4 linked regions of the Notamacropus eugenii genome follow. The protein of the gene in region 3 interacts with the protein of the main gene of each other region in a pairwise test. Links are inferred from orthologs where the notes say so. Each region holds a gene or a part of one and is shown on either strand. Other genes may lie near its edges.

Region 1 (8,266 bases), on a different chromosome or scaffold from region 3:
TGATGGGATGTCATCAAGAGCTCCAAATATCTGTGTTGGGAATATGGAGCCTAGAGTTGGAATGCTGAAGGAAGAGCAGAGTGGTTCTTTGTCTAGCCCTGTCTTCTCAGCCCTCTAACTGCCCCTTCCCAGACACCCTTGTACTCATTTGATGTCCCCAATCTCCTGATTCTCATTTTGCCTTCATCCCCAAATTTTCCAGCTGATCCCTTTTCCCAAGATGATTTTTCAGATCCATCTTCACCCATTTCCAGGCTCCTGTTCGCCTTCCTGTTTTCCCTCAAATTTTCTTCCCTGATCCTTGAATCTCTCTTAGATCTCCTACATCTTTATAACCTTGTGTGGAGGGTAAAAATTGATTGCCCTTTTGACATAATTAATAAAGAAACCACCATACTTCTAAAAGGTAAAGGCAATAACTTGAGATAATAATTCGCTTTTTTGAAATACAGTTTTTCATTCTGGCCTTTACTTAATTGCCTGTTTTCCGAAAAGCCCAGTTGTGCATAAGCTCTTCCATTCTTACTCATTTTCTCTCAACAGTGGTAGAGAGTACAGAATAAATATTTAGAGGTAAGCTCCCTCTTACTTTAAATTAACATAGACAATACCTATACAACATTGGGCTGTAATAATTACTGTTTTGTTATAAAGCAGATATAAATATTATCAAACTAAAAACATTTTTTAGATGAAGAGAGCTCAGCAAGAAAACAGTGAGATGTCATAATAGGAAGCATATTAAAAAAATATGTGACCCTTGACTGTAGTCACTTTTTACTAATGATACTGAAGCAATTATAAAAGTCCATTCTGTTCCCAGCTCCTACAGACTTCTCTGTTGCCTCCTCTCCTACAGACTTTGGTATCTGTGTGGGAGAAGAGGAAGATTTCTAAGGAATATTCTCTGTGCTGTTTTAACTGTCCCATTCCACTCCCTTCAGATCTGGAGATTGGATCAAAATGATCTGGTGAAAACCATAAGAAAGTAACAGGAAAACCGAGTAATTCTATTACACCTAATTTTCTCTTATAGCTCTAACTGTGAGGGAACATGTGCTTGAAGACAATTAACCAATAATAAGAAAGGTAGCACAGCAGTGGAAATGTCTGGAGTCAGAGGTTCTGGGTTCAAATCTCAGTTCTGTCAGCAACCTGACTGATTGTGGGCAACATCACTGATTTCAGTTTGTTCACCTGTAAAAATGATGTGGTTGGACTCGATGGCTTTTGAGGCTCCTTGCAGCTCTACAACCTATGATTCTGTTTACTGAGTTATTTTTCAGTCACCTCCAACTCTCTGTGACTCCATTTGAGATTTTCCTGGCAAAGATACTGGAGTGGTTTGCCATTTTCTTCTCCAGCTCACTTTTTACAGATAAGGTAACTGAGGCAAACAAGCTTAACTGTCCATGGTCACACAATTAGTAGGTGTCTGAGGCTGGATTTGAACTCATGAAGATGACTCCTGACTCCTGATCAGGTACTCTATCCACTGTGCCATCTAGCTGCCCTTGATTCTATGATAAGTACCTGCTTATAGGTACTGAGTGAGGTTCTGGGGATACCAAGATAAAAAGAGGCTATAATGGAAAGAAGACTGACTCTGGTTTTAGAAGGCTTAGGTCCAAATCCTACCTCTGATGCTTACTAAGTTTTCTCATATGCAAAAATTAAGAGTTTGGATTAGAATAGCTGAAAATCTATGTCTGTATGTCCCTAGGCAAGTAACATAACCTCCATGGGCCTTAGATCTCTTATGTGTAAAATGAGGGACTTGAAGTAGATATTGTCTGAGATCTTGTACAGTTCTACATGATAAGTCAGAATCCTTCACCTCAGGAAGCCATTTCTGATAACTTTCCAGACCAGGATGACATGAGCCAATTAGTGTTACCACAGGACATTATTTTCATTGCTATTACTAGCCAAAACCATGCCTTCTAATTAAAGGGATGCTCCATCCTTACTTTGCCTCCTCTTTAAACTACTACTGCCTTTTCACCCTTCATAACTCTTGGGTTTTTGTTGTTTTTCACTCATTTCAGTCATATTCAACTCTTTGTGACCCCCTTTGGAGTTTTCTTGGCAAAGATACTGGAATGGTTTGTCATTTTCTTATCTTGCTGATTTTACAGATGAGGAAACTGAGGCAAATACAGTTCAATTACTTCCCCAGGGTCACACAGCTAGTAAGTGTCTGAGGTTGGATTTGGACTCAGGTCTTCCTGACTCCCGGTTTGGTGCTATATCCACTGTGCCACCTAGCTGCCCTAAAGTTTATTTAGGGTAGGTTTATTTAAATTTATTGAACTTGAATCTATTAAGCATTATCAAGTTAGATGCACACTTTAACAGTAACCTGGCTCTCTCAAAAGGACTCTCTCCTCTACTAAGTATTCTACCCATGCATATATAAACATCTTTTCTGCAATTTAAAACTTAAAGAGCTTTCTGGACCTTGGAAGGCTTTGCACAGGGTCACAGAGCTAGTATGTATCAGAGGCAAGACTTGAACACAGGTTTTCTGACTGAAAGTCCATTTCTCCAGATATAACATAATACTGCCTCTCTTTCAATAAAAAATAATAAAATAATTGATTTTAAAATAAATGTTTGACATAAAAATGCAAGTATCTAAAATTAATTTGCCTTTATGTCAGAGGATAATGATCCCCCCCCCCCTTTTTTCAAGACATTAGCCTGTTATGGATAACAGGTTTGATAATTTGATAAATATACTTAATGTTCAATAACAATGATAAGCTTGGATGAAAGTGACTTTATTTACCTCTAAAATCTTAAGGCTGAACATTTTGTGAACTGTACATTTAGAAAAATTAAACCTCCCTAAAGCTCCTTTCTGAAAACAGTGTCAAACAAAAGAAGCCAGACTACTTGATGGCATTGTTAGCATTTTCTCACTGGAAAAAAAAATCAAAGTCTAAAGACACTGTCTAAGTAGCTGAAGGGTTTTTTCCCTTGGAACTCAGTGCAAACCGTTACTACATACCTCATTGTTTTCAAGCAGAGACAGATGTTTAAATAATCCTGGACTCCAGCAGTTTCAAGTTTTAAAACATAGCATTCCCTCTCTAGTTTATAACAATTAGATGCTCACTTTTAGGTTTCCAGAAATAAAACATACCTTTTTTTGCAGGGAGGAAATCCTTTGAAAGTTCTGTCAGTCCATTGGTAAATCTAGCAGTGAAAAACAAGTGGAATGTATAGCTATGAGAACAGGAAAAAAAAAAATTTCCAGCTCTGTGAATTTCACTCCTTTAGGAGACACCAAAGCGGGAACAACAATTCAGCACAGCAACACTAAAGGCTCTTTGAATTCTTCACTACTTTTACAGAGTGAAAAAAAAACAAAACAACAGTTCAGCTCAGCGTCAGACCAGCAGCTGGGACTGGTGTGACGTCAGTTATGGGGAGGATGGCCTTAGAGACACCTCTTCCAACCCCAGCTCTGTAACTTTAGATCTGTTCATATTTTGTGTAAACAACTTTAGGTCCAGGACATTTTTAGCTTTATAGTGTAGCCCAGCATTTTCAAGCACGCCAAAAGAACTGATGTTAATATCAAACGGATGACAATGGCCCATTTTAGATCCTTTTTGTTAGGGAAATTTAACTCTTGTTTTCAAGATCTTGATTTTTTTTTTAACTACATGCAATCTCAATGTATATATGTCAATGTCTCCTGAAGTTGTGTGGCTAGGTTCTGGTACACCAAATCAGGCATTCTCTACTTACTTGGTGGATTTCAAAGGCAGGGTATGTGGGGTGGGGGGAAAGGGGAGAGAAGGGGCATATTGTTCTTTCCAACTCTACAGTGCTCATACTCTAGGATTAAAAACCTAGCCATTTCTAATTTTTTTATATGAAGTACCACTTGGAAAATATGTTTCTTCTCAGATGATATACGACATGTTTCTCTTCATACTTCCCTATGCCATTCTCCAAGCTAGTAATTCTTTTTTTTTTTAATGCTACTACTATATACTGCTTTAAGGTTTACAAAACACTTTACCTATATTATCATAGTTAATCCTTACCATAATTCTGTGAGGTTTCATGTCAAGAGACTGAGGTTCATAGAAATTGTCACCTGTACCAAGTCATACAGCTCAGAAAAGTCTACGGTGGAATTTGAATTTAGGTTTTCCTAACTCCAAGTCTTGTGCACTCTCTAATACACCAAGCTGCCTCTTGAAGCATTTATAGCTCTTTCTGTCCATGTCTGTATTGTGTGAAGGAGCAATGCAGCAAGAAGGGCTGCTAGGTGGCACAGTGTATTACAGTGCAGTCCTGGAGTCAGGAAGACTCATCTTCATGGGTTCCAATCCAGCCTCAGACACTTACTAGCTGTGTGACCCTGGGCAATTCACTTAACCCTGTTTGCCTCAGTTTCCTCATCTGTAAAATGAGCTGGAGAAGGAAATGGCAAACCATTCCAGTATCTTTGCCAAGAAAATCCTAAATGGGGTCATGAAGAGTTGGACATGATTGAACAGCAAAAAAATGCATTCCTTACTGTCATAATAAGATTGACCCTGTTAAATGTTTGCTCCATTTTGATAAACTCTTCAGCAGATTTCTAGCTCAAATTTGTCAATAAAGCAAACTTTACATATCTTGTCAACTGAGACCAGAACGTAAGCAGCATAAGACACAGTGTAGAAAGCATACAAGTGATTGCAAATATTTTTTAAGTGCCAGCAGTGGGCAGTATTGATGTACTTACAGAATGCTGGACTTGGATTCAGAAGGAAATAGTTTTGAATTCCTCTTCAGATAGCTGCATGCCCTTGGGCAAATCAGTTTCATAATCTGTAACACTTGTATAATAAGAACTCTGATGTGTTAGGGTTGTAAGGATCAGATGAACTAGACTATATGTAAAGTACTACGTGAATATAGTTACTATTGATTTTACTATTGTTACCATTAGGTGCCCTTTACCTTCCTAAGATTTTTTTGGCACAACACTTTTGCTCCTTTCTCTCTGTCTCTGTCTCTCTCTGTTGTCTCTCTCTCTGTTGTCTCTCTCTCTCTGTCTCTCTACACACACACACACACACACACACACACATAGTTATACATAGTTACGTGTGTGTGTATGTATGCATTAATAGATTTGAGTAATAAAAGCTGTGAATGCTTTTTATATCGTAGATATATGTATGTAATTGGTCTATGTTTGGAAGGGTCACTAGAGTTCTCATCTTTTGGTTATAAATATGTGATGCCTTCTGTTAAGTAAATGTACCAAAGAGAATACTGGTAAAGTATTATTATTGTGACTGTTGTTACTGCTGCTGCTGCTACTACTGCTACTATCACTACCACTACTACTACTACTACCACTACTACTACTGCTGCTGCTGCTGCTGCTGCTATTACTATGGTAATGACAACTACTACTACCGCTACCACCTATGTTCAAGCTCTACCTCTTATACATATTGACCGTATGACCTATGCAAGTCATTTATCTTCTTAGTGCTCTATACAACCTTTTAAGATAATCAGTTGCAGAAAAAGTACCGACCTGCACTGGAATATCACCGAAATCCCAGGGTTGGTCTTATCTAACAATAAACACAACAACAGTATAGCGTGGTGGATCTGGATTGAAAAGACTTTGGGTTTAGATCAAGGCAGACTTAAGCAATCCACTCTTACTTCCCTGGGCCTTAATTTCTTCTATAAAATGGGAGGATTGGATTGGATGACCTCTAAAGTGCTTTCAGCTCTAAATCTATGATTTTTTGTAGTTTTATTTGTTCCCACTCATGTAGATTGGGCCAAAGAAAGTACCTTTTTTAACTGGTTACCCAGAAATGAGGAAGAAAATTCTATTGATGCTTAAAGATTAAGCTATAAGAATCTAAGTCTTCGTTGGCCCTGTTTTTGATACATTTCCTGTAACAGAAGTTAAAAGAGTCCTGTAAAAAGATACATCTCCAGTAATCTCCATGGTTTTGTCTGTTTATAGATGAGCATTACTTCCACGAGAAATAACTGGAATAGAGGTCGTGGTGGGAAAGACTTTATGTAGACAGCAAGAAGATATTGGAGGTATATAATCACTAGTGAACATGCCTACTGTTCAGTGCTCTGCCCTTGGTCTTCTCTTCTCTCCTACCCTCAGTTATCTCATCCACTATCATAAATTTAATGCTCACCTATGTAAAGGACTCTTCTAAAATTTCTGTTGCTAGTTCCACTTTTTGTCCTGAGTTCCAATCTCCATTTCCAATTGTCTACTGGACATCCCCATGTAAATCCTAAAATATGTCCCAAAATGAACTCATTGTTTCTGGATACCATTTTTTCCTTTAACATTTCTATTTCTGGTGATGACATCACCATTCTGCTCACCACCCAGATCTAAAACCTAACCATCAGTTTTGACTAATCCACATGCACGTCCAATCCATTGTCAAGCCCTCTGATTTCTACCTTTGACATATTTCCCCCTTTTTACCCATCTCAATACTTTCTGAATATCTACAATGATTCTCCTAACTGGCTTTCTTACCTCCAATCTCTTTTTCAAGCCATCCTTCCCACGGCTACCATGGTAGTCTTCTTAATTCATTGACTTGCTCACTCCATTCCCTAGCTTAAAAAATCATCAGTTGTTTTCTATTGGTTGCTGAATAAAATAAAAACTCAAATTGGCCTTCAAAGCTGTCCACAATCTGGCTCTGGACTATCCTTGCAGATATTTTATGGTCCTCTATTCCACACAGCCTGCACTCTGGCCTAAGCCAACTTCTTGTTAATCATTAATTTTTCTTGAGCTTTCATAAATTTTCACACACTTGGATAGGACCCTCCTCCCCAAGATAACACTGATTGAAATCCTTTTTGTCTTTTGAGATCCAACTTAGGTACCAAGTTCTCTATGAATGTTTCTCAAATTTCACCAGTTAAAAGACAAAATCCCTCCCCAAATCTCTAATGGTACCATGATTCATATCTCTTAAGAATGGAATCTTTTTCTAAATAGTATTATATTATTTTTTCTGTATCTAATAAAAAACAGCTAGCATTTATACAGTATTTTAAAGTTGGCAAAGCACTTTATATATTATCTTATTTGACAAAATATTTCATTTGATATCCCCTACTAGACAGTTTGATTTTGACAGCAAGGATTATGTCATCTTTATCTTTGTATCTTCAATACCTAGCAGAAGGTTTTATACAATCAGCCAGACAATTAACATCTATTGATCACCTGTTATGTTCTAGATACTGTGTTAAGCCCTGGAAGTTCAAAGCCAGGCAAAACTAAACAAAACAAAAAACAGTCCTTGATCTAAAAGAGCTCACAGCCTAACAGGGAACACAACATGCAAACGTTATCTATTAGGCTAATAATTCTTTATTGAATTGAATTAAATTGAGGGCAATTTAAACCAAGGTAACTGATAACATTATGTTCACTCACACTTGGCCTCTGGGGTTTGCTGTATTATTTGTATATCAAACTTAATAAAGGTTGTTTTCTAAATCCTTCCAGCTTTGGTTATGTTGCATAAGAGGTGATTCATAACAGTAAACCTCAAGGAGGAATTCTTTCCTTTTCCCTTTTAAAACAAGTTTCAATGAATAATTAACATAGGTGCTTTGTGTCAAGGCAAGAGACTCAGCAACTATGTTTAGATAGCATCAGTGGCTCTGATTGGATCTTGACAGGTCCGCTAGTCCAGCTCTAGGATGCCATGAGCAAGGTCATATCTAAACCATCCCAGACAGATGACAGTTAGTTCTATTTTAAAAAATCTCTAAAGAAATAGATTCCACAGTGTCTATTACCTGCTCACTCCAATGTTTAACAACCCTTGCTACTGGAAAATCCCTCCTTATATATGTTATGGTCCTTGTGCTACCATTTACACATGAAGAGCAAAAAAGGAGCCAGTTGAAGTGACAAGACTCATGAGGCAAATAGTTTCTCGGTGTATCTTTAAATCCTTTCAGGAAAAATAAGAACAACATCTTAAGATGAGTACTTGGAGTTCTTACAGCAATATAAATAAAATGGAAGATGTTCTTCTGAAGCAGGGATCACACAATATAATACTCCATAATAATATTCTGATCTTTCCATTGCTATTTAACATTTTAAAGCAGGTGTCAGAAAAGCTCAAACTCTAATGGAAAAATACTGCACTTATGTAAAGATAGTTTAGGACATTTTTGTACCTCTTAACCAAGTCACTAAATTTATTAGAACTGTTTTTCT
Region 2 (7,777 bases), about 150 Mb from region 3:
ATGGCAGGTGCTTACACTCTTGTTGACTGACTGAGAACAGAAGGGGTGGATTTGGGAGCTTAAAGGGGAGAAGCAGCTTTGGAGATCGATAGGAATAACGGTTAATTAGAGTAGAGTAAAAGACCTGCTGCTCAGAAATTGCCTATTTCTTGATTTCCGTCAAAAGCTTGGAGATGGGGGAGAAGGTAGACCCTCCTTTCTTCCTAATTTCCTTAGCTCTGTTAAGGGTACGGTCATCCTTTCTGTTACCCTGGTTTGAAACCTGTAGTCAATCTTGATTTGTCCTTACTCTGCCTCTTTCTATTTGTTGATAGGTGTTAGTCAATTATTTTTCCAAAGCAGCCCTCACATTGCTCCTTTTCTCTCCACTCACACTGCTGCTGTCCTAGGTCACAATTTCATTGCCTTCTGGCCTTCCTGTTTCAAGTCTTTTCCCTCTCCAATCTCATCCTTCATACAGTTGCCAAAGGGATTCACAGGCTGTCCCTTCATGCCCCAAGTGCCCTGCCCTCAAACCAAGTTTCTTTTGGAAATATCTGTATGTACTTCCTATGTATTATATATCTCTTTCAGTGTGTACATATGTATCCTACTATAGTATTTAAGCTCCTTAGGGACAGACTGTTTTGTCTTTGTATCCCCAGTGCCCAGCACTGTGTCTAGCACATAGTAGGCATGTAGGAATAACAGATTTCTGACCACTCTCTACATCTGTAAAATGGTGGGGTTAGTCTCAGAGGATCATTTCAGTACTAGTTCCATGTTCCTGTGATAGTCAACATGTTTGCTGAATTCAGCTGTCACCCTGCTAACTCCTCTACTCTCTTTAGTGTTTCTTCTCCAGGTATACACTACCCACTGGCTGGCTACAGTCTACTCCAAGCCCCCATATCACCCTTTTAGTTTTTAGAAGGGCTATAACCTGAGAGGTCATCTAGTCCAGCATCACTATACAAGTGAGGAAACAGAGGCCTAGACAGTTTAAAAGAAATACCCAAGGTCACACAGCTACTTAGAGGTAGAAATGGCATTTGAATTCAGGTCTTCTGGCTCCCCTACCCAGGGTTTTTGCTTCTATACCACATTGTGTCCCTAAACCACTTGTGGTGCCCTCTTAACTCAGTTAAGTTAAATTTGTATATTGCAAATTCTAAAAAACTTAGATTAAAATTAAGCAAACTGAACCGAAATAACTATACCTCATAGGGTCATAAGGACCAAACCTTCAAGTGAGACCTATTTATTATTAACTGCCTTCAGATTTAAATTTTCTAAACTTTTGGTTTTTGGTAGCTGAGAAGCTTCAGACATATGGCATGAATGCATTCTAAGCTGTGAGTGGAGATCTATACAAGTAGACTGATGGCTTTTAGCTGGAAGTTTTAGATGGACACCTGTTCAGTAGTGTATGTGAAAGAAATAAAGGGAAGTATATTCATCATCCAGTAGATAGGTGTTCTGGACACATAAAGATACTGAAACCTAAGCACAGTGCAGCAGAAAAGGCCCTAGCTCTGTAATGAGAAGACTTGGGTTCAAATCCTGCCTCCAGTGATTACTATCTGTGGGACCTTGGGCAAGTCTTTTCACCTCGATGAATTTCGATTTCTTCATCTGGAACATAATAACAGGGGGCCTCTCCACATTTTTCTGCCAAATGAGTTCCTAGATGGGTTCTGAAATAGAGGGGGAAAGCAAGGGGCAAATGCTGCCTTCCCCCCAGAACCCATGGTGGCCAGGGTGGGCTTATCCCCTTGCTGCCATCCTGATGTATTGGTCCAAGATGCACACAGGCTGCTGGCCTACTCAAATGGTTTGGGTGACATGGAGGTCACCAACTACCGTTTCCAGTGAAAGGAGACGTCCAGCAGGCCTTACCACCCACCCTGTTACTACATCCTGTCTGTCATCTGACCTAACCACATAACCTTGGAACCCTTGGGTCTTGTTGTCTGCCCCTCACCTCAAATCCGTTTAGGGATTTGGTCTTTGCCATCTGCCCTGCAGCTGAACTTTCAACACGATCACATCATCTCCCCTAATTAGAGTAGGAGATCCCTGAGAGCAGAGACTGTCTAGCCTTTTCTGCACATCTCCGAAGGGCTTAGCACAGGGCTTGGCTCACAGTTAACACTTAGCATTTTTTCATCCATCCATCTGTGGACCTCTAGATCCCTTCCCAATTCTAGATCTACGATTCTGTAATCTTTTTGACCAAAAACAAAATCTTAGGCACACAAGTGTGAGAAGAAGAAAATGACATATCACTAATTAATTCAATGATTCCTTGTTCATTTTTCCATCTGTTTTTTAGATTGAACTCTTGGTATTTTCCACAATACAATATCCAACTTGTCTTCCTCTGCATTTTTTTTTTTTTGCTAAATAAGACCCTACTATCAGTAAGCCTCATATAATACATTAACTTACATAACTCTCATTAGACAGCAGACTAGAGGCATGGTCAGAGTTGTTATTTTTCTACAGGCTTTCAATTATGAGGGCACATCAAACCTCAAGTATGAAAGTGGTGCAGCAGAAACAATTGTTCCAATACATCAGAGAAGTACTGAAGTCAAATAAAATAGTAATTTGTACTCCCTAAAATAAAATCAAGGCACTGCATCTAAATATACAAGAATTGTTTTTTAAAGCCGTTAGGTACTGCTTGTCAGTCAACAAGCACTTATTAAGCGCTTACTATATGCCAGGCACTATGCAAAGCTCGGAGATTAAAAGAGGAGTCCCTGCCTTCAAAGTACTCACATTCCAATGCTGGGGCAATATACACTTATCAGACATCGATGGTACAGATAAAGGCAAAAGTAGCTCCTGCCCTCAAAGAGCCCCCAGCCTAAAGGGGGAATTAACAACTATATCTGTACAAGATACCTCTGGCGTAAATAAATGGGAGGGGGGAGGGGTAATCTCAGAGAGAGGAAAGGCTTCTTGCCCAAGGCGAGCTTTGAGCTGAGACTTTTAGAAAGCCAGAAGACGAAGATAAGGAGAGGGAGAGCAGTTTAGGCATGGGGGAGGGCACAGGCAGTGCAAAAGCACGGAGTCGGGAGATGGCATGCTGGGATCCTTAGGCCACCTTCCTCCTCCCACTGAGAAGCATTTCGGGAGAAGGAAGGAGGATGACGCGGTCCGGCCGAAGGCCAGGGTCAGGGCCGGGGGTCTGCGCAGGGTCTCCGCCCCAGCCCCTACCCGGGGCCCCCTACCTCCCCCTCCTCCGCCGCCGTTTCCTCCGGGGTCCCGCCGGCGCGCTCCCGCTCGTAGAAGTCGACGCGTGGCGACCTGGAGCGCGGCTGCAGTGGGGCCTGGAAACCGAAGGAGGCGAGCGCTGGAGCTCGCCGGGGAGCTGCCATGGCTCCCGGACGTCGGCGCTTGCCGGCCCAGGTTGGGGCAGAGCGAACTCTGGGCCGGCAGGGGGCGGCTCCTCGCAGGGGGCGGGGCCGTTACCGGGACGCTGTCACCCGGGACGCCGCACGCCGCGCTACGGGAGCCCTCGAGGGACCTAAGGCCTCGCCTCGAAGCCCAGCGCAGGGAACCAGGGCTCCCTAGGGACAACTGCGAGCTCGTGGGGGCCTGCCCCCTCCCACCCCGCTTTTTTTAACCGTTGGCTCAAGAGTGTCCCTCCCCTCCCCTCCCGCCTCCAGGTCTCAGCGTAGTTGCCGGGGGATTAAGGACATGACGACTCGTGCGGATAGCCCATTAGAGGGCGCCACACAGCGTTCCTCGAATTGGTCTCCTTTGGGAAAGAAAACGCGCGCGCGCTCGATTCGGCAGGCTGCGCGCCCCCGCGGGAAGATGGTGGCCGCCTCAACCGACAGGGCTGCCGGGTGGGCGGGCGAAAGAAAAGGTATTGCTCCTGAGGATTGGCCAGCGGGAGCCAAAGAAAGGACCAACCGGGGAGCGACAGCTCTTTGTCCCTCCTTCTTTCGCCCGGCAAGGCCAATGGCAGCCCCAGGTTGTGCCGCACTTTGTCCGCTTTTAGAGAGAGGGACTGCGGGTTTCGTTTAGGAGGCCTCCTTTTACGGCGAGGCTTGTGCATAATGTATCCCTTTAGCGGCAATGTGGGGGCTCAGCCTGGGTAGCCAAGGCCAGGAAATCCTCCGGGCCTTTACCGCAGCGCTGGAAGATGCGGCCTTCTGCCCGCAGTGCGGGGCCGAACCCGGGCCCCGGATGTTGGGCGCAGCCAGCCCAGCCCTCCGGGGCCCCGTCGTCCTCGGCGCCGCCTTCCCTCATCCATTGGTGCCCCACCCGCCTGGCAGCCCCGATGAACTCATATTGGCTCTTCAGGAACGTGTAGGCCTGTGTCGGTTCTGATCCGTGTTCAGACTCGGCCTCAGAGGCCCGCTAGCTGTGTGACCCTGCCCGTCATTTAATGGCCTTTTGCCTCAGTTTCCTTATCTGTAAAATGAGGGTAATAATTACACATCTAACGACTTTGAAGACCAAACGAAAAGGATGAGCACAGGGACTGGCACACAGTAGATGCCAGTGCCAAGCGCTTGCTGACTCTTAAAATTGCTGTTATTACCGGGCAATAGCAAGTCCAACCTTCCTACGACAGAGGCGCTGTTGGAATCCGAGGGAGCGCCTGGAGAACAGAGCAAGAGCAAGGTGGCTGCTGATTAGGACCTTTGGGCCATGCTGGAGGTCCAGGAACGGCCGGTCAACCTAATCAGTCAATAATACATCACGTGGTACAAGCATCCCCAGCACTGATCTTCTAAACTGTTTCCCAGGGTTAGGCTTTTCACCCAAAAACGAGGCACTGGCTGATAACCAGATAGCAATACATGGGTGGGAAGCCAGGGATCAGAACTTGTGGAAAGTGATTTGAGGGCCAGGGTACATTCCTATGTATAAGACTATGCAGGAACAACTCTAGGGACAAGAGGCTGTGGTGGAAATCTGAAAAAGGAAACTTTATAACTCTTACAAGTTTAAATTTTTAAAAGAAAAATTGTATATAACTAGTTAAACTTACTTTGTAACCATAATCTCAATACATAAAATGTAACATTTTAGTCTAAATTAGGATTCTTTGTCCATTCTCATTCTTTTTTTGCTCTTAGATGGTCAGTGTGTACTGATCATCTGGTTCTTTTGTTACCTTTGTCAAGTTTTAAGATTAATACAAAGTTTTTTTAAACAAATAACCTATGTAGTTCAGGGATTCTTTGTTCTTCAAAAGTCTCAAAATCAGACTTCTGTGTGATCCAATTGTTTAACTGCCAAAATTTTGAAGTGCAACAGTCTCAAGTCTGTGTGGTTACTAGGCCTGCAGATGTTTGCTGACCAATTAAGGCAAATAAATGTGAAGGTATCATGGATGTTTTTCAAAGAATACCCAGATTTCCACTCTGCTTTGATAACCATATTAAAATGGTTTCTAGGACCCTTTATGTCCTCCACTTTACCCTCTTCTTTTGTAAGTTCTGCAAAGACCCTACCAACTGGCTGGAGACCAGTACATCTGTTCTTGGGCCACTGCTCCCTTGTGGTTTTACATGTATTGTCTCACTCGTTAGGATGTAAGCTCTTAATAGGCTGAGATTTTTCTATTTGTATACCCAAGCAATTAGCACTGCGTATAAGCACTTAATAAATGCTCTATCATTCCTTAATGAGAATGTGGGAATAGGACAAATGAGGCTTAGTACTATAGAAGTGCATAAGCTTGAAGTCAGTGCCTCAAGCCAAGATTTACTTAGCAGTTTGGCAATCATATTTTGGTAGAAGACCGTCTTATCAACAGAGCTTTGGGTTTTTTAAAATACTCAATGTATCAGGTAAGTTGAAGTACTGTGGGATGTTTTGCAAAGGTAATTTCATATAATCCAGCATCCTTAGGAACACCAAAAGCTTCAAAAGAAAATGGAGACCAATGGTCTTTTGAGGCGCGATGCCTTCCACATCCAGAGAAAGAACTACGGAATTCAACCGCAGCATGCAGATCATTTTCTTTTGTATTATGTTTTGGTTTGTTTTGTGATTTCTCCCATTCATTTTGGTTCTTCTATGCAACATGGCTATGGTGAGGATGTGTTTGATAGGAATGTATGGGTAGAACCTATGTAGGATTGTATGCTGTCTCAGGGAGGTGGGGAGGAGGGAGTGAAAAAAAAATCTGGATTTTATCGTAGTGATTGTAGAACAATGAAAAGAAAAAAATGGAGGTAAAAAAAGTAACAAATTGTGAACTTCATCAATCACACTGTTGATGTTTTTGCTCATGTGTGCCACACAGCTACTTGGTAGGATCAGAGCTCTAGCCTTTCTCTTATCCCAAAGTATAACTGGTAAATATGAAAGGTTACTTACTCCTTTAAATATTCCCATTTATGTTAAAATATACTTGCAGCTTGAAATAAGTTCTAAAAAAACAAGTTTTTGATGTTTCAGGGTCTTTTCTCTTCCACACAAACACTACAAATGATTTATACTGATTACATGAACTATGTGAATGTAAAGTGTAGGATAATGAAAGGTTTAATTTCACCATCCAATTTGACTAAATGTTATGTTATAGGTGGCTTAATACAAGATGACAAATTACTGCAAGGGTAACCATTTTATACTCCTAAACAACTAAAAGAATAAACAAAATAATGATTTAATCTAGTAAAGATTTAATAAAGGCTTTATATCAGAGAAATCACATTTTTTATTTGCCTTGTACATTCTTACCTTTTAAGAATTTTACTTACTCAAAAACTTTTCTACATTCTCACATACAGAGTACATTCCAGAAAGCATTTGAGACATAAGCATTGTAACTTTAGCTAACTGTGTACTCAAGACAAGTACTTAAAATTGTGGGGTCCCCTCCTAAAATAGCATGGCATGCCTGGGATAGTAGAGATTTATTTTCTATGAGCTTTTCATGCTAGATACAAGCACCTTACGTTTGGAAAATCAATACTAAATAATTGTTAACCATAAAAACACAACAAAAGTAGACAATTTAAGCCAAGGGGAAAAATCACACTAATTGAGATAGCTGAATCAATAATACGAATACAGGTTATGTAGTACCTAATTCAGATGGATAACAATATTTTTGCCCTCTAGCCCTGTAGTCCCACTCTCCCACGGGTGAGTTCTTCTTAGAAACTACATTTTGAGAAAGGAACTCAGCCATCCTTCATTCACTGGCCTTCACCAAAATAGCCCCCCTTCAAGGTTTCCAATAGAACTTTTTGGCTCCCTTGTCCTGGTTCTCTTACATTCCAAATGTAAGGTAAGGACTTAAAGGTAAGGACTATCTTTTTGCTTGTATATTCACCCCCAGTGCTTAACACAGTGGCTAGCACACAACAAGCCCTTAAATGCTTACTGACTTGACTTTTTTGCTAACTGGAAAACAAAATCCTCAAACAATCTGCCCATCTATTTATAGTCACCTCTGATCATTCTTTAAACTTATATAATTTTTCTTTAAATTCGAGGCAAAAAGATCACTTGTAGCGCTGAGGAAAAAAATGAGTGGAATTCAATGGCACACTCAACAAACAGGTACAGCCGTTTTTATTTTTCATAGAACTTTTGGAAATTCCAGGAATAACAACAAAATCTGCTTTCTTGAAACCAAATATTTACTATTTTTATTAGATTGTATTGACAATTTTCAGATGGATGACAACTGGAAGCCCAGGTGTAAGAACTCAGAAAACAAAGTCTTCCAAACTATTAAATACTCCACAGGGCAATACTCCTCCACCACAGCTGCACAATGTATGTCTGTATCAGACAGATGCAGTATGTC
Region 3 (8,384 bases):
GAGACATGACTCTGGGGCTCAGTCTTTTCAACTGTAAAGAATGGGGAAGAATAATACTTACACTGCCTACTTCACAGGACTTGTGTAGGGAAAGTATTTTGTAGACTTTAAAACTATATAAATGCCAGTTGTTAATTATCTGTAAAATAAGAGGGTTAGACTAGGTCAGAGGTGTCAAATATGTGGCCCGTTAACACTACCAGATGCAGCCCCAACCAGATAAAAATGTGATTAGGAATATTTAACAAATAAGTAAAAAATGCAGCAAAACATAGATAACATTACATTTTAAAACTAAGTTAAGGGATCTTTATGTATGCATTGACACCCCTGGACTAGATCTCCAAAGTATCTTCCAGTGTTGAGTTCTGTAACCCTATTATCTGGTCTGGGCACTTGTCTTCATATACATAAATGACTAGCCATTCTGAACTTTCGAGTTTTTTGTTTCTGTTAGGGGAAAAGGGGAAGCATGTTGATTTTTTTATTATTGTCAAAAAGTGGGATGCTCTAATAGGCTAGAAATTTTTGAGAAAGTAGCCAAAGGTCTCTGGATGGAAATCAAGGCATCGTTTGAAGAGAAGAAGATGCTCAAATGCCTTCCTCTCAGTTCAGAGGAAGATGCCTCCATTTCTTTCTCCCCTCCAGACCGTACAGGCTGACCCCATTCCTGTTTTCCTGGAATCTGGTGGTAGCTGGGTTTTGGTACAGTGTGATTCTGTACTACAGAGTGACAGCATTCAGGGTGCTTTAAGCCACTCTAGGTGCTGACTCACATTGCTGGAACATGACACCCCTGGAAGACTGATGATTTTTCTAAGCTAGATCATTCTCCCATTTTCTTTTTCTTGCCCTTTTGGTAAATCATTATGCTTAGAGGGGTTGCTTTTATTTGTACACCTGACCAAAACTCGTATCTTTTAGTTTTCCCTCTCTTGATAAAAATAATATCTGGTAATTTGTTTTTGTGTGGTCCTGTGATTTAATCCTCATAGGGAAATTCCCTTCACTGATTCAGACCAATTCATGGGGGGACCTTTTAAAGAGTTAGCTGGGGCACTGAGAAAATGTACTCATGGTTACACAGCTAATAACAGAGGCAAGATTGGAGCTTGGGTCTTCCTGGTTTTGTCGATTCTGATAAACTACCTTATAATTGTTTTTGTTTTAAGTTTCACCTTCCTGTGAGGTTAGTGGGGTAGGTATTTTGTTATTCTTGGTCTTCTTTCACCTTGAACCGTCCCCTTCCAATCTTCAAGCCTGCCTTTCATTTGCAAGCGGCTGGGATGTGGGGAAACCCAGGAAGCTACAGACAATTCACAACTAAAGTTAACTCCTCTATATACATATACAGGACATTCCCATTGTTGACCTGAAAACTTGGTTAAAGAAAAGGCAACAGGCTAAATGCATACATTTTATGATTTAATTAATTAATCAGTTCCCCATAAAGAAAACAGTTACATAGCGCTATGGAGTCAGAGGTGACTGACTACCTAGTACAGAAATCATCTGTCTTAAGTACATTTTGTCGTGAGAAAGAAACTCTCCTAATTAAGCAAATCATAAATTGAGTAAGACGGGACAATTAACAAAGCAATGTCAGTCAGGCCTTGGGATTCCAGGCTGGGTAAGCATATGTCTCAGTGATAAGAAAAGAAATCCCACCACTAGTAAGTGGCAGGCTTCCTGCCCTAAACAGATAACTGACACAGGAAGGGGCAAACAATGTTCAATAGAAACCCAGGATGCCTATATTTTCTTTACCATTAATATGCCATAACATAGTATGTGTCTATAGATAATAAGATATAAAGGGAAGTCCCATTATTTAAGATAGTATCTTAGGTTAAAGGTCTCCCAAGGAATGCAGTCAGCTTTGGCTGGCTTTTGCTGACATAGGAAGAGGCATTCTCTGAGTTTGCTTCAGAGAGAACAAAGAGATTATTCCAAAATTTTATATTAAATATTATCACCATGTATCTCATTAATACCCGATGATGGCCCACCAGCAAAAATTCCAAGGGCTAAAGATTCCAAGGACAATTCTTCCAAGAAGCTAGTTCAAAGAAACAGACTGGGTAGCAGTTAGGTGAGAGGTAAAATTATCTTAGGGTGGGACCAGGTGAAAAAGTCTTATATCATGACATAGCTTCCACTTCTCTCTCCCGGAACACCATATCTACTTTCTTTCATGTTAGCAGGAAAATGTCTAGGAGGAGGAGTTTAGTTTAACTGGATTAACTAGGCATTAATAATGGGCCTTTGGCTCCCACCCTTCCTGTTTGAGATATGCACTGTCCAGGCAGATACCCAGCAGTTGATAGACATTCATGATGCATATTTGTCCCTCCCAAATTCCATCATTCACCATTGCTGCATAAAGAAACACCATATTTGGAGATTTTTGCCTCACATTTTTCTGTTCTCCCCCCCATTCCCCCGAATTCCTAGAAAATCAAGTATTTAGTGAGTCCCTACTATGCACCAGATAACTATGTTAGGTACTAGGGAATACAAGAATGAAATACCCACTCTCAAGGAACTTATAATGGGGGAGAAAACAAATAACTAAAAATACAGCATAATTACTGGTTCTTCCAAAAATATACCTTGCATAAGGTGAATAAATGCAAATCTATAGAAAGTAGTTAAATTCAAGTTAGTTTAGCTGGGGAGGGAATTGAGGGGATTAGGAAAGGCTTCCAAATCCTAGGACAATGGAGTTGTAAATTATGTTGACTCACCTAGGAGCAGAGAGGTCACATATGCTTTTAAAAGTAGTCTGCCAAGGCAGGCAACATGTTGCAGTGGGAAGGGTGAAGCTGGACTTTTGCCCTAGTATAGAAAATGTGGAGACTAAGAAAGTTAGCAGATTGAGAGAAAATTAACTTCTGTTGCATAGGAGATGGGATCTCAAAAGCTAGCCAAGCGATGGTGAAGTAGTTTGGGTTACAGGGACAGAAGACTGAAGTTTCTTTGTTCTATCCCTGTCTCCTGTCCCTTAAAAAAAAAAAAATTCCCTCCATCTTTACCCTGTCCTCTCTCCAAGGCTTCACCTTTCTTACAAGGGGACCAGACCAACTTCTACCTCCTCCCTCCCCAATCAAGGTTGAGTAAAGAGCCTGGTTTGTTTCCTTTAGGTTATGTGAGAAGGAACCTCCCCAACACTTAATCTAGTGGAATACAAAGAGCATGGACCTTCAGATCTCATAGGCTGAACTGGATGACCTCTGGGGTCCCTTGCAGCTTTGAAATTCTTGTCTTCTAAGCCACTGAAGCAACAAATTCACCCTCCCACTCAACTGAGTTTCTGTTATTTCTGATATTTCTACATCATTACAAAGTTAATTTTAGGGCACATTCCATATCCCTTGCCCCAGACAGTGTTTGCCGCATGAACTAAAATTCCCAGATATGGCTCTGGGGAAGAATACAAATTTTGGAATCAAAAGACATGTGTTTGAATCCTGACTTGGTTCTGAATCCTGATACCACTACCACTGCTACTACCTACTGCTTAATTCCTGTGTGACCTTGGGCAAGTCACTTTAAACCTGTTTGGACCTCAGTTTCCTCATTCAGCAAAAGAGGACTAGGTGACTTCTAGGCACCTTCTAAATCTATAGTCCTAGGATTCTAACTTCCCTGCCTGGTGGAACAGGGAAGATATGGCTGCTGGCAGCTTAGGGGCAAAGTCCAGAGGAGGAATTCTGTCTTTGGGGAAAGAATGTATGTCAGCTGTCAGTTTGGTGGCCACCTGTGGCTCAGATATCAAGAGGTGGTAAGGGCATAACCGCAGTCACCCATGTTCTGGTAAAATCAGCCTGCGGGCCATCTTTCGCACCTAATAGGCTGCTAACCTCAGAGTCTGCCTTTGCTTATGGTGTTGGCAGGTTTATTGATAATGCAAAAACGCACCACCTTCTGGTTAAACTGGTGCTAACAAGGCCATGGCCAGGGGTTTCATTGTTGTATGGCTTTGTTCTCTTTTTCCCTGGCCACTCCTTAACCAGAGCTGTTAACTAGAAATTCTTTTACCTGGGGCAAAACTAATTCAGGGAGTTGTGTGGGGTGGGGGAGGAATGCCAAATGTAGTGTCAGTAAACAGGATGGTCTGACCAGGGGAACTGGGGGTGACAGTGACAGGGGAACTGGGGGTGACAGTGACAGCTCAGGCAACAGTTTGCCCGTCAGAGCAGTTGCATTGGGAGAGGAGAAGACCTGTTCACCAAGAAATACTATCTATGCCCACTTTGGGATGGGCCCCAGACAAGGAATATTCTGGTGACAGAACCTGGTAAGGAAGCAGGATTGCACAAGCTAGCAGAGGACTTTGAGATGTGAAGTAGTGGGGTAAAGGTCCTGAAGGAGGAGGGAGAAGGTGAGGATCCCCTCCCAATCACAAAATGTAGGTGCTGAAGTAAAGCCCTGGTTATCTTACCCTAGTTAGAGTTACTGTTTACAAAAGGGACAGGTGCACCTTTCCTTCCTCTAAAGAAACATTTTAATGCCTAAATCCTGCAGACAGTAGCACAGATGGCTGGTTATTCTTATTAATACATGCTCTAAGTACAAGGCAGGACACTCACCTTGCATGGAGGGGTGGAGGGAAGTGCCAAGCCAGGATACAGTGTTTCTCTGTGGCTCTCCATCCCCCTGAACCATGGTAAACACCTGAGGAGCCCAGAGGTGCTGACAATGCAAAATGGTTCCCCAAAGGGTGCTGAGATACCACATACCTCAAGTTCTCCTCAAAAATAGATTACTTCTCCTTTTCCAAACTCCGCCCTCTGCCTCTCTCCCTCCCAGAACTCTGATGGACCAGTCAGAAGAAGAAATACCAGCAAAAAATGTCTTGACTGGAACCCCATCAGGAAGTACCTCATAGCAGAGGTTTTCCCAGCTGACTCCACCTTCCCTCAGATTATTGCGTAGCCAGTAGGGTTTCCTATCAAGGTCGGAGGACCAAGGAAATGGGCTGACTAGCACATTGAAGGCTAAATTATAGCCAAGCTGGAAGCTCCAAGAACAAACTGAGAGGTAAGAAGGCTTTGTTATCCTAAGGGGGAGTATGGGGAAGTGTGTAAGTGAGGGAAGTGGGGGAGGGGAGGAAGTGGAGGAGGGATAGTTGGCCAGAAGGAATTAATTTAAAGCAAGGGAAGGTCATTAACCTCTCGCTGAGTAGTCTAATAGGACAGATGCACAATTAGGGACAGGCAGTTTGACACAGTGGAAAGAGTACTGTGTCTGGAGCCAGAGGAATGGAGTTCAAATCCTATTTCTGAAACTTTCTACCTGTGTGACCTTGGCCATGTCACTTAACCTCCTTGGTCCTCCGTTTCCTCATATGTAATATGAGGTTGGACTAGATGACTTCTGAGGTCCCTTCTGGCTCTAAGGCTCTCTCTAGGATCCTATGATAGGGGGTTTCACGTACCCCGGGAGCCAGTCAAGCCAGTCGCTACCAGGCAGGACCAGAATCTTCTGTGTTTATTTCCTCTCACACCTGATTAGAATGCTGGATTTCAGATGTTTCATATCTACTTGGTACCTTGAATCAAATTAAATGTCACAAAGTTGGGTGTGGTGCACTTGGATTTTGGTCCAACAAGAAGACAAAAAGAGTTAGAGTGTTCCCTGTGCCAGTTTCCCGTTGAGTGTAAGAATCAGCTCTCATTTTGACGGAAGTCCCATATGAAAAGGAAGGATAGGAGAAAGTTGAGAAACTAAGATGAAAGGTCATTTGCAAATTCAGTCAGCCAAGGCAGCTTGGAAAGGATTTCAAGGGTAACCTGGATAATTTGAGTCAAAAATTTGCTCTGATCAAAACCAGCAGAGGTTAGGCACTGTGCTAAGCACTGGGGATACAAAAAGAGGCAAAAAGCAGTCCCTGCTCCGAGGGAGCTTACAAGCTAATGAAAGTCTCTGTCTCCCTTGTTTTGTCCTTCCAATCGCTTGTGTGCCTGCTGAGGGGAGGGATAGCCTTTGCAAAGTTTCTCCTCCTGCCTCACTCAGCTGGTAAGGATCTTCAGCTTTTCTGGTCAGTGGAGAGGAATTTACAGAGCTTGTAAGAGTAACAGACATAGTATTCTAAAAACTAGGATGAATTACGAAAACAATCTCACTCCTAGAAAACTGCTCATGAAACTCACCTCCATCCTCTCAGGTAGAGGGGCGAGGGACTGTGGGTGAGGGAAGTGATAATGCCACTAGATGGGACACTTTGTTAGCTCTGCTGAAATGTTGGGGTTATTGGTTGGGGATGTGGAGGGAGGACAGATTAAAGGAAAATAATTGTGGTATAAAAACAAAAGGTAACAATAAAACTTTAAAAAAAATTAGTGTACACAAAACTGCCCACAACGGCTGCAAAGTGTGCCACTATATGATCTTTTCAAACCCCTGTTTCCAGGGGGTTTGGAGTAAGTCATTAAGTTAGTATTTTCACTGAGTTTATAAAGGTAAAGTTCAGAACAGGAAAATATCCTGAGAACTATAGATTATTAGAGTCTGTAGTTAGACAGATTAAATAGAGTCTTGAGATAATCCAGCCAACCACTTTATTTTATAGATGAGGAAACCACGCCTCTGTAAGTTTACATGTCTTGGCCATAGCTCTTCAGTGGCAGAACCAGGACATGAGCCCAGGTCTTATGGAGGCCATGTGTAGTTTCCCTTCTAATGCACTATGGTATCTCTTTAAGAGACCAGTAAGGTGGATATGCCATGTGCTTCTAAAGTCTTTTTTTTTTTTTTTAGAGAAACTAGGCTAGCTCTATAAGAAAGCAGACTAGGGGAAATGAGTGTCTGAATAGCTATATTTAATACTAATACAGCACTCTTGCTTTCTGCTGAAGGCCCAGGCTTAATGACCTGGCTTCTCAGGTGACAGGGATCATAAAAAGGAATATTTCATCACTCCATAGCCAGGCAACGAGAAAGGAAAAATGCAATGGAAAAGAATTAAAGGAAATGAGTCTGTTGTAAATCAGAGAGCAGAGATAGCTGTGTCACTGCCTCACTCATAAGGAAGTAGCCTTGTGCAGCTAATTTCCTTTATTAGCTGTAAATAGTGGGAAGGTTACTTTCAAAATGTGGAAGGCTCCCCAGTGCCCACAGGGACAATTGAGGGACAGAAATCAAGTGGGCCAAGTATTTATTAATGCGCCCATCACATGCCCAATGCTTAAAATTTTGTTGGGAACACATTTAAAGTAAATGGAATGGTGCAGAACAGATTGTGTGGCAGATAATTCTTGCCAAGGTCAATGAGGCTGGAGAAGGCTTCTTTGCTTAGACCTCACACAGTACTTCCTCAATACTAAATCATGGCAGATTGTGTTTTCTAATCATGTGTTTGTGTCATCCCCCAACTGGAGATGTCCCTACTGGACTGTGAACTCCATAGGCTCAGGGATGTATCTCCCCCAACACCTAACAAAGTGTCCCAGATACACACAAAGCTGTAGCAGGTAAGACTAATGGTCACTGGTATAGGAAAGGATGTTTTCTCCCCATAGGGAGACATCCATCTTCCCCTTGGGAGGGAAGGTTGTCTCTTGACTGCCAGTGATTTCCTAAAGAGCCTTCTAAGGACTACCCCAGGAAAGAAACCCATCTTGTTTGGATGTGGCTACCTTGAAAGAAGAAATAAATCCACCCGTCCAAATCCCAAACTCCTCCCCAAGAGACCTGTTGCTTTCATGTTCTTCTTCCAGTTCATTCCCTCTCCCCCTACCAAGCTGGTACCATTATACCCTGCTGAGGCATATAACTCCCAAACCACCTGGCCTGGGGGACCAGCATCAGTGGTAGAACAAGTAGTAATGATGTCTTGTGTTGTCCAATCAATTAATTAATAAACATTTATTATGCACTATTGTGTGCCAGGCACTGTGCTAGGCACAGAGGAAACAAAAGAAGCAAGAGACAGTCCCTGCTCTCAAGGAGCTTATGATCCAATGGGAGTCTCTATCTTCCTTGCATTGTCCCCAATCTTTCCAATAAAGTTTTCCCTAGATATTGGAATTCCCAGGTATAGTTTATGCCTATTCTTTTTTTTAATTGAATTGCATGAGTTGGAATGTAAGTTGACTAATTGGTAGTCTAGACTGAGCAAAGGGAAATTGGAGTGGGCATTCCAGGCAGCAAGCCCTTCTGACATTCGGAAGGCATCTGTCTTTGTATCTTCTACAGCCACAGGTGCATCTAGGATAACCACCCCTGACCTCACTGTGCAGGTAGCTCTTGCTGAGTCTTCAGGCATACGTGATGGGACACATTCTGGCTTAAACAAAGATTTGCCTGGGAGCAGTCACCTTCTAGCTTGGGATCATCTCAAGGTGATAGCTTAGTTCTTTTTCTATCTGGAATCGTTAACC
Region 4 (7,822 bases), on a different chromosome or scaffold from region 3:
TTGTACACAAATATTTTTAACAATGTTATTTGTGAACACAAAAAGCCTACAAATGAAACATGTGCCCAATGGGGAGGGGGGGTGAAGGGAGGAGGAATCCAACAGCTGAACAATTATAGTTTGTGAATATAATGGAATTTGTCTTACAGAATGATTATGAAGAATTAAAAGAAACATAGGCAGATTTTTATGAAGTGAAACAGAATAAAGAAAATAGAGCTAAAAGAACAATACACACAATGACTACAACAAAGTAAATAATGACAAGCCCTAAATGGTAACCAAAGTCCAGGCAAATAAAACCACCCAGACTGGCACCACACTATCAAAGTTAAAGTACACACCCTTCCTTCCTGTTAATCAGAAAAACAGCAGGCTTGTATTATCAATAACAATCAAGCCATTAGATAGTTTTGTTGATTTCCCAAAAACTCTCTACTACAAAATACTCTACTACAAAAATTCTAGAGATTTAAGATCAAACATAAATTCCTGTTTGACCTATCTTCATAACCTGGTCCCTTTATACCTTTCCAGTCTTTTTACATATTATTACCTTCAATGTTCTCTATGATCCAGCCATTCTAGCCTATTTGGTATTTCACACACATATAACTGCATTTCCTGTCTCCAAGTCTTTACATGGGCTGCTTTAGAGGTCTGGGATGCTTTCTTTCTCTTTTAAATTCTGCCTCTCATAATCTTGATTACTTTTCAGCTCCAGCTCATATGAAGCCTCTCTGAGAGTTTACTCCCTATCAAAATGACCCTGTATTCATTTTGCATATACTCTGTATATTCTTGTATGTACATTGCCTCTCTGGTAAGCTTCTTGAGGACAGGAGCTGATGTTTTACTTTTGTTTCTATGTTCCATGAATAACAATTGCTTAATTCTTGTTGATTAGTGGAGAGAGAAGCTCTGCTTTGGTTGAAAAGTGTCTGCTGTGTCAAAACAAAAATTATCATTTTTTTAATAAATAAAATGGACTCAGGAACCTAAGCATAGCTCTCTAGTATTAGGGAACTCCATACTAACTGGAGAAAGCTATATACTGCTAAGCATGCTATAAATCTGTAATTACCTGTCTATACATAGTGGGTAAGCTTATATCATCTTTCCTGTCCTCAGGCGGTGGCAACAAAGGTAATGACAGCATTATCATACTTTGTCTGCATTTTCTAGTTCCTCAGCATTTATGGTTACATGGTAAGTCTTCGAATTATACTGTGGACAACTGGCCTTTCAGGGAAAGTGTCTCTTCAGAATTTTGTCGCGCAAAAAATCCCCAAAAACTACCATCCTGTAATGAGAATTGACAGAGATTTCTTTGTATGGGACAAGGTCTGCAGTTTTATTTTTTAGCAAGAGTTTTTTATCCATTTCCTATGAGGTTTTTCCACACTTAACTGATAACAGAAATGTTTTTTCTGCATTCTAGACTTTATATTTCTTCCTAGTTACAGAGCAAGTTTTACTTTGTAAACTAAAGAACTAAAAAGTTCTTTCAAGGGGGTTCCTATTTCAATTGAACAGTAATGAACATGGTTACAATTTGGAGTAATTCTAGGAAGCAGATAGTAAAAGTTACTTGTAAGTACACTGTGATGTAACTAGCTCCAAATATATCTAAATAACCAATCATATGTATTTTCACAGCTGCATCCTCATATGACAAGCTGTCAATGATGGAAATACCTATTGGTGAAAGGCTCCCCTCAAAGTCTAGGGGCAACAATGCTGGGGGACCTACAAAGGATGATCTTCATAATCCTGCCTGTCACTTAATTACCTTAACACTTCACTTTGTTTTGAGAAATGTAATCTTTAACTAGATTGCAAGTTTGCTTAATCTCAGAAAATGGAATGAGGACGGGTGGTATAAAATCATTGAGAACTGTATTCAATGAAAATGTTTCTGGTAACATATGGATGAAGATAACACAGTCAATCCTGGCTCACTAAACTACACTTCCTATTTTTTAGCTCACTTCCCACCCTTAAGAGTATGAAACTCAGTTGAGGCTTTAAAAAAAAAATCTGAGAGTAGGGACCGGTTTGTTCGGCTTTTTTGTGACTTCCCCAGAGATCAGCCTAGCATCTGACATAGAGAAATGCTTAAAAAATGTGTTGAATGATAATCTAAAAAAAATTCCACTTATATTCCCCATCTCCCACCATCCCCAGAAAAAAGGCTCTACCCCTTGTAGACAAACCTTTGATATGACCTTTATTGTAACTTTTGTCCCCAGTATTGATTTTAACCTGACTTCACACATGCGTTGAGGAGGTACGAGAAACTGACTAAAAACTCCTTTTCTTATCTCTCACACTTCATAGCATGGTATTGGCAACACTGTACAGGTCCAACATGTCTGGAAAACAGATCTGCCTTTGTTCTTAGTAACAGCAGCATGCCCGCTCACTCTACAAGCTGCATGTCAAGGTGGGGGTTCCCTCGCTGGAATACAATAAAATCTCAAATTTAAAATCCCCCCCCACCTTCAAAAAGAGTTAAAAGAGAAAAATTCCTTTCTAGTTGCTGAAACTCAGACAAAAGTGTGGGAAATTAAAAACTTGAATAAAATGGAATAAACAATTCCACAAGAATTAAATATTTTTGAATATCGAATTTTAAACTTAGCATCCTCACCAGTAAAACGAGGGGCGGATTCAGGGGCTTTTAAGATCCCTTCTAAGTCTACATCTAGGAGTCCGTGGAAACTAAAGCAATCTCCAGCCCGAGGCAGCGGGACACCGGAAACGGGAGGAGGGGCAGAATGCAACGCCCGTCCCCCGCGCCAAGCCAAGGCTGGGGGTGACCGGAGAGGTCACAGGACGGGGGGGAGGCGCGAGAAGCCTGGACTGCGGCTGCGCCCTTCCCCTCTTCCCCCCCCAACCCCCACCTCTGCTAGGAAAAGGCGGGGCCGTAACCGTCCCCGAGCTCCCTTCCCCACTGCCTCGTTAGCGTCCAAGGGGAGGCTTCCTGCGGTTCGCCTTTCTCCCCAGGGCTGACCCTCGCACCCTGCTCACCTGTCCGCAGGTAGACGCGACAGTTAGGGGAAGCTAACAGCCTGCCGGACACGACTTCTGCTCACAGAGGGTGGGAGAGAAAGGAAGAAGAGGATTGGAGAGAAGGGGAGACGCTCAACCAATCAGAGGAGCCAAGGCGAGACGCATACGTGATTGAAGCATGCGCAGTGCGATCTACGGAGTTTTCTTCCGCCCGTCCTATCAGTCTCTTTGCTTCCCGTTTCTGTGGATTCCCTGCCGTGCCTTCCGACTGCGTCATCTCAGTCAGGAATAGGAATCTCCCTTTTATTTGGCCCAAGATCCCAGATGCACATTTAAGTTGAACCTAATAACGTCAGCTCTCCGTGACTACGAGACTTCCTCACTTAAATCCAATTCACTTGCAAGTCATGACGTCACTTTCCTGATGCTTTGAATGACGGACTGACAGCCGGCCAGACCAGAGGAAGGGAGCCCCTTGAGGCGGGGCCTAGTTTTTTGTTCTTGATTTAGTGCCTGGCACATTCCAGCTGCTTAACTCAGTGTCTGTTGGACACCTTGCTATAAACCTGGATTGTAACCAGACAGGAAAAAAGATGCCTCTTCCGTTAGAAATTGGTTGGGAAATATTTCATCTCAAGTTCTTTCTGTGGAAGGAGCACATGTTTCTGAACGTTTCTCGTTATCTGAAAGGGCAGGCAAATACAGGCACGAAGTTAGAATTTGCCTTTGGGGAAAATATTTATTGGATGGCATCTCAGTGTTGAATCCCCTTGGGGGTTCATAACCTGGGGTTCATGAACTTAAAAAATTGTATAACTTGCAATAGAACTGGTTTCTTTTGTAATCCTACAAAGAAAAGATTGAAAATTAGAGATCCGTGAACGTTTATTAAGTGCCACTATATGCCAAACACTCTGGGGATAAAAAGAGAGGCAAAACCCAGCAGTTTTTACTCTCAAGGAACTCATAGTCAATGGGGAAACTTTGTGGAAGAGATGGGAGAGTTTTGACTTAGGAGGAATTGTAGTAATCAGAAAAATATATATTTGACTTAAGAGAGTCTTGCTATTCTAGCTGAGTATGGACTCACAAAAGAACTCAAATAGCACTGAAATTATGAGATGATTCGCAAAAGAGCTTTAACCATTCCTCTGTGGAAAAGAGGCCCCCGGCAGTGGAGAAGTAGCAGATGGCAAGCTCTATTCAGTAAAACAGCCTAGTAGATGACATCATCAGCGCGTTGGTGAAGTTTTTTGGTGAAAACAGTTGGGAGTTTTGGAGGTCTAGGGCATAATTCATCTGGGGCACAATCTTAGGATTCTGAGTTGGTCAGACCACTTTGTTCCCTCTCCCATCAACGGTATGGGAATCTGTGAAAGAGTGTGCCTGTTGTATATGGGGAAGTTTTTCTCATTATTTTCCAAAGCTATTAAATGGCTTTGTTTTGAGTCAGAATATCTTCTCAAAAGAGGGAAGTATCAGGAAGCCTATTTGCTGTGGAAATGAATGGATACTAACATAAAGTTTACCTTAAATTTAGGTGTAACTGGGAGAAAAGGTAGGGAGGGCTATGCTACAATTGAATGACTTCTCTAGGTCATATAAATCACCATTTAGAAGTCTTACCAAGTATTTACCTTTATTTCTATCACCCTACTCTCCCTTATTCCTAACATCAACTGAGTCATTAAGGTAAAATTCCAAAGTTCCAAAGATTTAACTGGACAATGTACTGATAATAAGGCTGTGAGGATAAAAGGGGTGTGTGTGTGTGTGTGTGTGTGTGTGCGTGTGTGCGTGTGTGCGTGTGTGTGTGTGCGTGTGTGCGTGTGTGCGTGTGTGTGTGTGTGCGTGTGTGCGCGTGTGCGTGTGTGTGTGTGTGCGTGCGTGCGTGCGTGCGCGCGTGCGCGTGCGCGTGCGCGCGCGTTTCTCTGTTTCTTCTTAGCAAGGGAGAGTGAACAGGAGAAGATTTTGCTGAGATGAAGAGATTGGGACCTGACAAAGCTAGATTAGAAATACTGGGATGAAATGGAGGAAAATGAGGTTTGAAACCTTTCAAAATCATTTTGACAGTGTGCAGTGACTGATTTTGATAGACTTAGAAATGCAGGGACCTAAAACAATTTCAAAGGATTCATGGTGGTAATGCCATTATCATCCAGAGGAAGAATTATGGAGCTGGAATGCAGAACGAAGCAGACCATTTTATTTTTTTTGTTTTGTTTTTTCTTTCTCATGTACCCATTCTTTATAATTTTTCTATGCAACATGACATACGAAAATGTGTTTAATAGGAATGTATGTGTACAGCCATATCATATTGCATGCCATCTTGGGGAAGGGGTGCGGAAAAAATTTAAAACTTATGAAAGTGAATGTTGAAAACTAAAATAAATTTTAAAAATCATTCCGATATTTTAATTTAGACATCAGCAACAATCAGTTTGTGGTAGCATATGGTCCTTATTGCTATAGTCCTTGGCGAGAGTAGTTTGTATCGTCTTTTGTATTTGTTACCTTCCAGTCAATTTGTGTTGTTACCTCCCAGCTTCCAAACCAACCAATCCAATCAAATATTTACTAAGTGCCTTCTCTGTATAAGACACTCTGCTAGGCACTGGAGATAATTTTTGAAAAATGGGAACCATGCTGCTCCTTCTGAGCTTCTGCTGACAATATACTGTCAGGATGTAATATGTAAACAGGTAAAAACATACATTAATTGGAGTAAGAAGGAAAAAGTACTAACAACTAGGAGGTTCTATAAGTCTTCTGAATATCAGCTGAGCCTTGAAGGAAACCAGGGTTTTGAAGAGGTAGAGGTAAGGAAGGAGTGCATTCTGGGTAGAGAAGATAGCCAATGTGAAAATACAGAAAGCAGAGATAGAATGCCCATTTTGGGAAAAGGCTGAAACGTAGACTGTGTGAATGGGACTAATGTGCTTTAAACCCTGGGAAGCTAAATCAGAATTCAAAAATGAAGGGCTTTATATTGCAAGGTGAGGAATTTATTGTTGTTGTTGTGTTTGTCCTTTGTTCCTGAAGAGGATTGTGACCTCATGACATGACTTTCAGTAGACTTTGATTTGAGTGAGGGAGGGCTGTGCAAGGTCACCAATCTCACTTTCTTCTCCTTAGCCATCTGGGTCCAGTGGCATGGCATTCATCAGGACAGCCAGAGATGGCCCAGAGTTTATAGGTTATCTTGGAAGCAGTAGGGAGTACCTCACAGCTCTAGAGCAGGCCAATGATACTGTCAGACTTGGTTTTTAAGGAAGGTTATTTTGGCAACTGTATGCAAGATGGATGCAGGGGGTGGGTGGACTGGGTGGGGTGTGTGTGAAGGTGAGGGTAGGGGTGAAGGGAGGAGAGACTGATATCTGGGAATCCAGTCAGGAGGCTACTTCAGTGGTTCAGGTAGAAGGTGACAAGGGTAGTTTCAATGAGAGTAGAGAGGAAGGAAATATTGTAAAGATAGAAGCAGTAAGTCTTGATAACTGATTGGAATTGGGAGGTTCAACAGAGAGGAAAGAATTAAGGATGGTGCAGAGTTTGTAATCCTAGGTGACTGAAGGGATGGTGATGCTTTCCTTTATAAACTCTGCTCCACCTCTTCTCTTCCTTGGGCCCCCGTTGCCCTTATGTTTTTCCTTCCTTCCATGTCCAAGTGGTTAAAATGATTGAATTGTTAAACTGATTATTCACCAGCTACCTGGAAGACTGCTTAGTGCAATTCTTTGCAAGGTAAAGTACTCAATAATTATTGAAATGAAAATTTCTCTAGGGGTATTTACGTTTTTGTCAACAACATATACATTGTTGCATGAAATAGAGTTTATTCTTATGGTGTAGGTTGGCTTTAAATTATATTAGATAAATTTGTGATTAAAAAATACTATTGTGTCAGTACTGTACAGCAGAGGGCAGCATTATGCTCACTTTTTGAAAAATAAGAACTTTGACAACTTGCAACTTGAAATACGACTTAAAAGCAGACTTTTTCCATTTTGATTTTGTTAGCATAGATTGTGCACTATGAATCAGTAACTACTCAATAAGACACTATTTTTTACTATTTAAAATATGAAATAGCAAAATGCATTTCTGAAGTTCATTCTCATAAATTAGGAGGGGAGATTACTGGGAGAATTATAGGAAGATGGCCTTTTATTAGGACCTAGAGAAGCCCAGATTCTCAAAACATCCTCAGTAGAATTCTAAAACTGCAGTCCTACACTCTACAGGGAGAAAGGCCAGTGACCAGCACAGGGCAGCCTCAGAACCCTAGCTGCAGCAGGACAGGTTTGGGAGCATCGTTTAATTGTACAAGGTTGGGGAACTTGTGGAACTAGAGGTCACATGTGGCCTTCTAGGTCTTTCAGTGAGGCCTTTTGACTGAGTCCAAGTTTTACGGAACAAATCCTTATATATTAGGGGATTTGGTCTGTTAAGTTTTAATTCAGTCAAAGGGCTGCACTTGAGGACCTAGGGAGTCACATGTGGCCTTGAGACTGCAGGTTCCCCACCCCTGAAGGCAGTGAGGATCCAACTCAGCCTAAGTCTAAACCATAACAGGAGACAATGCCAAACAATTTCTGCCACAAACAGAGTTTAGTCTTAGCCACACCACTAAAGTCCATGCAGGATCTTTCCACACCACTTAGGAGTGGGACTATTGAGTTTGACCCAAGCATAACTCCTTAAACTAAGGTTAAAGATATGAATAAATAGAAGAAACTGCCAAACACAATGAAGAATTCTTGACTATACTGAGTGCAATACTATGGGGGTAAACCGAGCCTTTATT

The links.
Region 1: the proteins of CARD9 (region 3) and KIAA0408 interact in a two-hybrid assay, tested with the Homo sapiens proteins (2 studies listed by BioGRID and IntAct). The two-hybrid records come from large-scale screens. The link is inferred for Notamacropus eugenii from reciprocal best matches to the Homo sapiens genes CARD9 and KIAA0408.
Region 2: the proteins of CARD9 (region 3) and FAM161A interact in binary tests that used the Homo sapiens proteins (3 or more experiments, as listed by UniProt). The two-hybrid records come from large-scale screens. The link is inferred for Notamacropus eugenii from reciprocal best matches to the Homo sapiens genes CARD9 and FAM161A.
Region 4: the proteins of CARD9 (region 3) and TCEANC interact in binary tests that used the Homo sapiens proteins (3 or more experiments, as listed by UniProt). The two-hybrid records come from large-scale screens. The link is inferred for Notamacropus eugenii from reciprocal best matches to the Homo sapiens genes CARD9 and TCEANC.

Annotation. Positions count from the first base shown.
Region 1 is NC_092873.1:211,371,918-211,380,183, forward strand, and holds the start of KIAA0408 (uncharacterized protein KIAA0408 homolog), read right to left. Parts: upstream 3,421-8,266; 5' UTR 3,149-3,420; intron 1-3,148.
Region 2 is NC_092872.1:642,870,673-642,878,449, reverse strand, and holds the start of FAM161A (protein FAM161A), read right to left. Parts: upstream 3,447-7,777; 5' UTR 3,369-3,446; coding exon 3,222-3,368; intron 1-3,221. UniProt on the Homo sapiens protein: Involved in ciliogenesis.
Region 3 is NC_092872.1:489,795,152-489,803,535, forward strand, and holds the start of CARD9 (caspase recruitment domain-containing protein 9), read left to right. Parts: upstream 1-4,940; 5' UTR 4,941-5,043; exon of another isoform or gene 5,044-5,088; intron 5,089-8,384. UniProt on the Homo sapiens protein: Adapter protein that plays a key role in innate immune response against fungi by forming signaling complexes downstream of C-type lectin receptors.
Region 4 is NC_092876.1:377,330,756-377,338,577, forward strand, and holds the start of TCEANC (transcription elongation factor A N-terminal and central domain-containing protein), read right to left. Parts: upstream 3,471-7,822; 5' UTR 3,034-3,470; intron 2,852-3,033; exon of another isoform or gene 2,654-2,851; intron 1,304-2,653; exon of another isoform or gene 1,085-1,303; intron 1-1,084.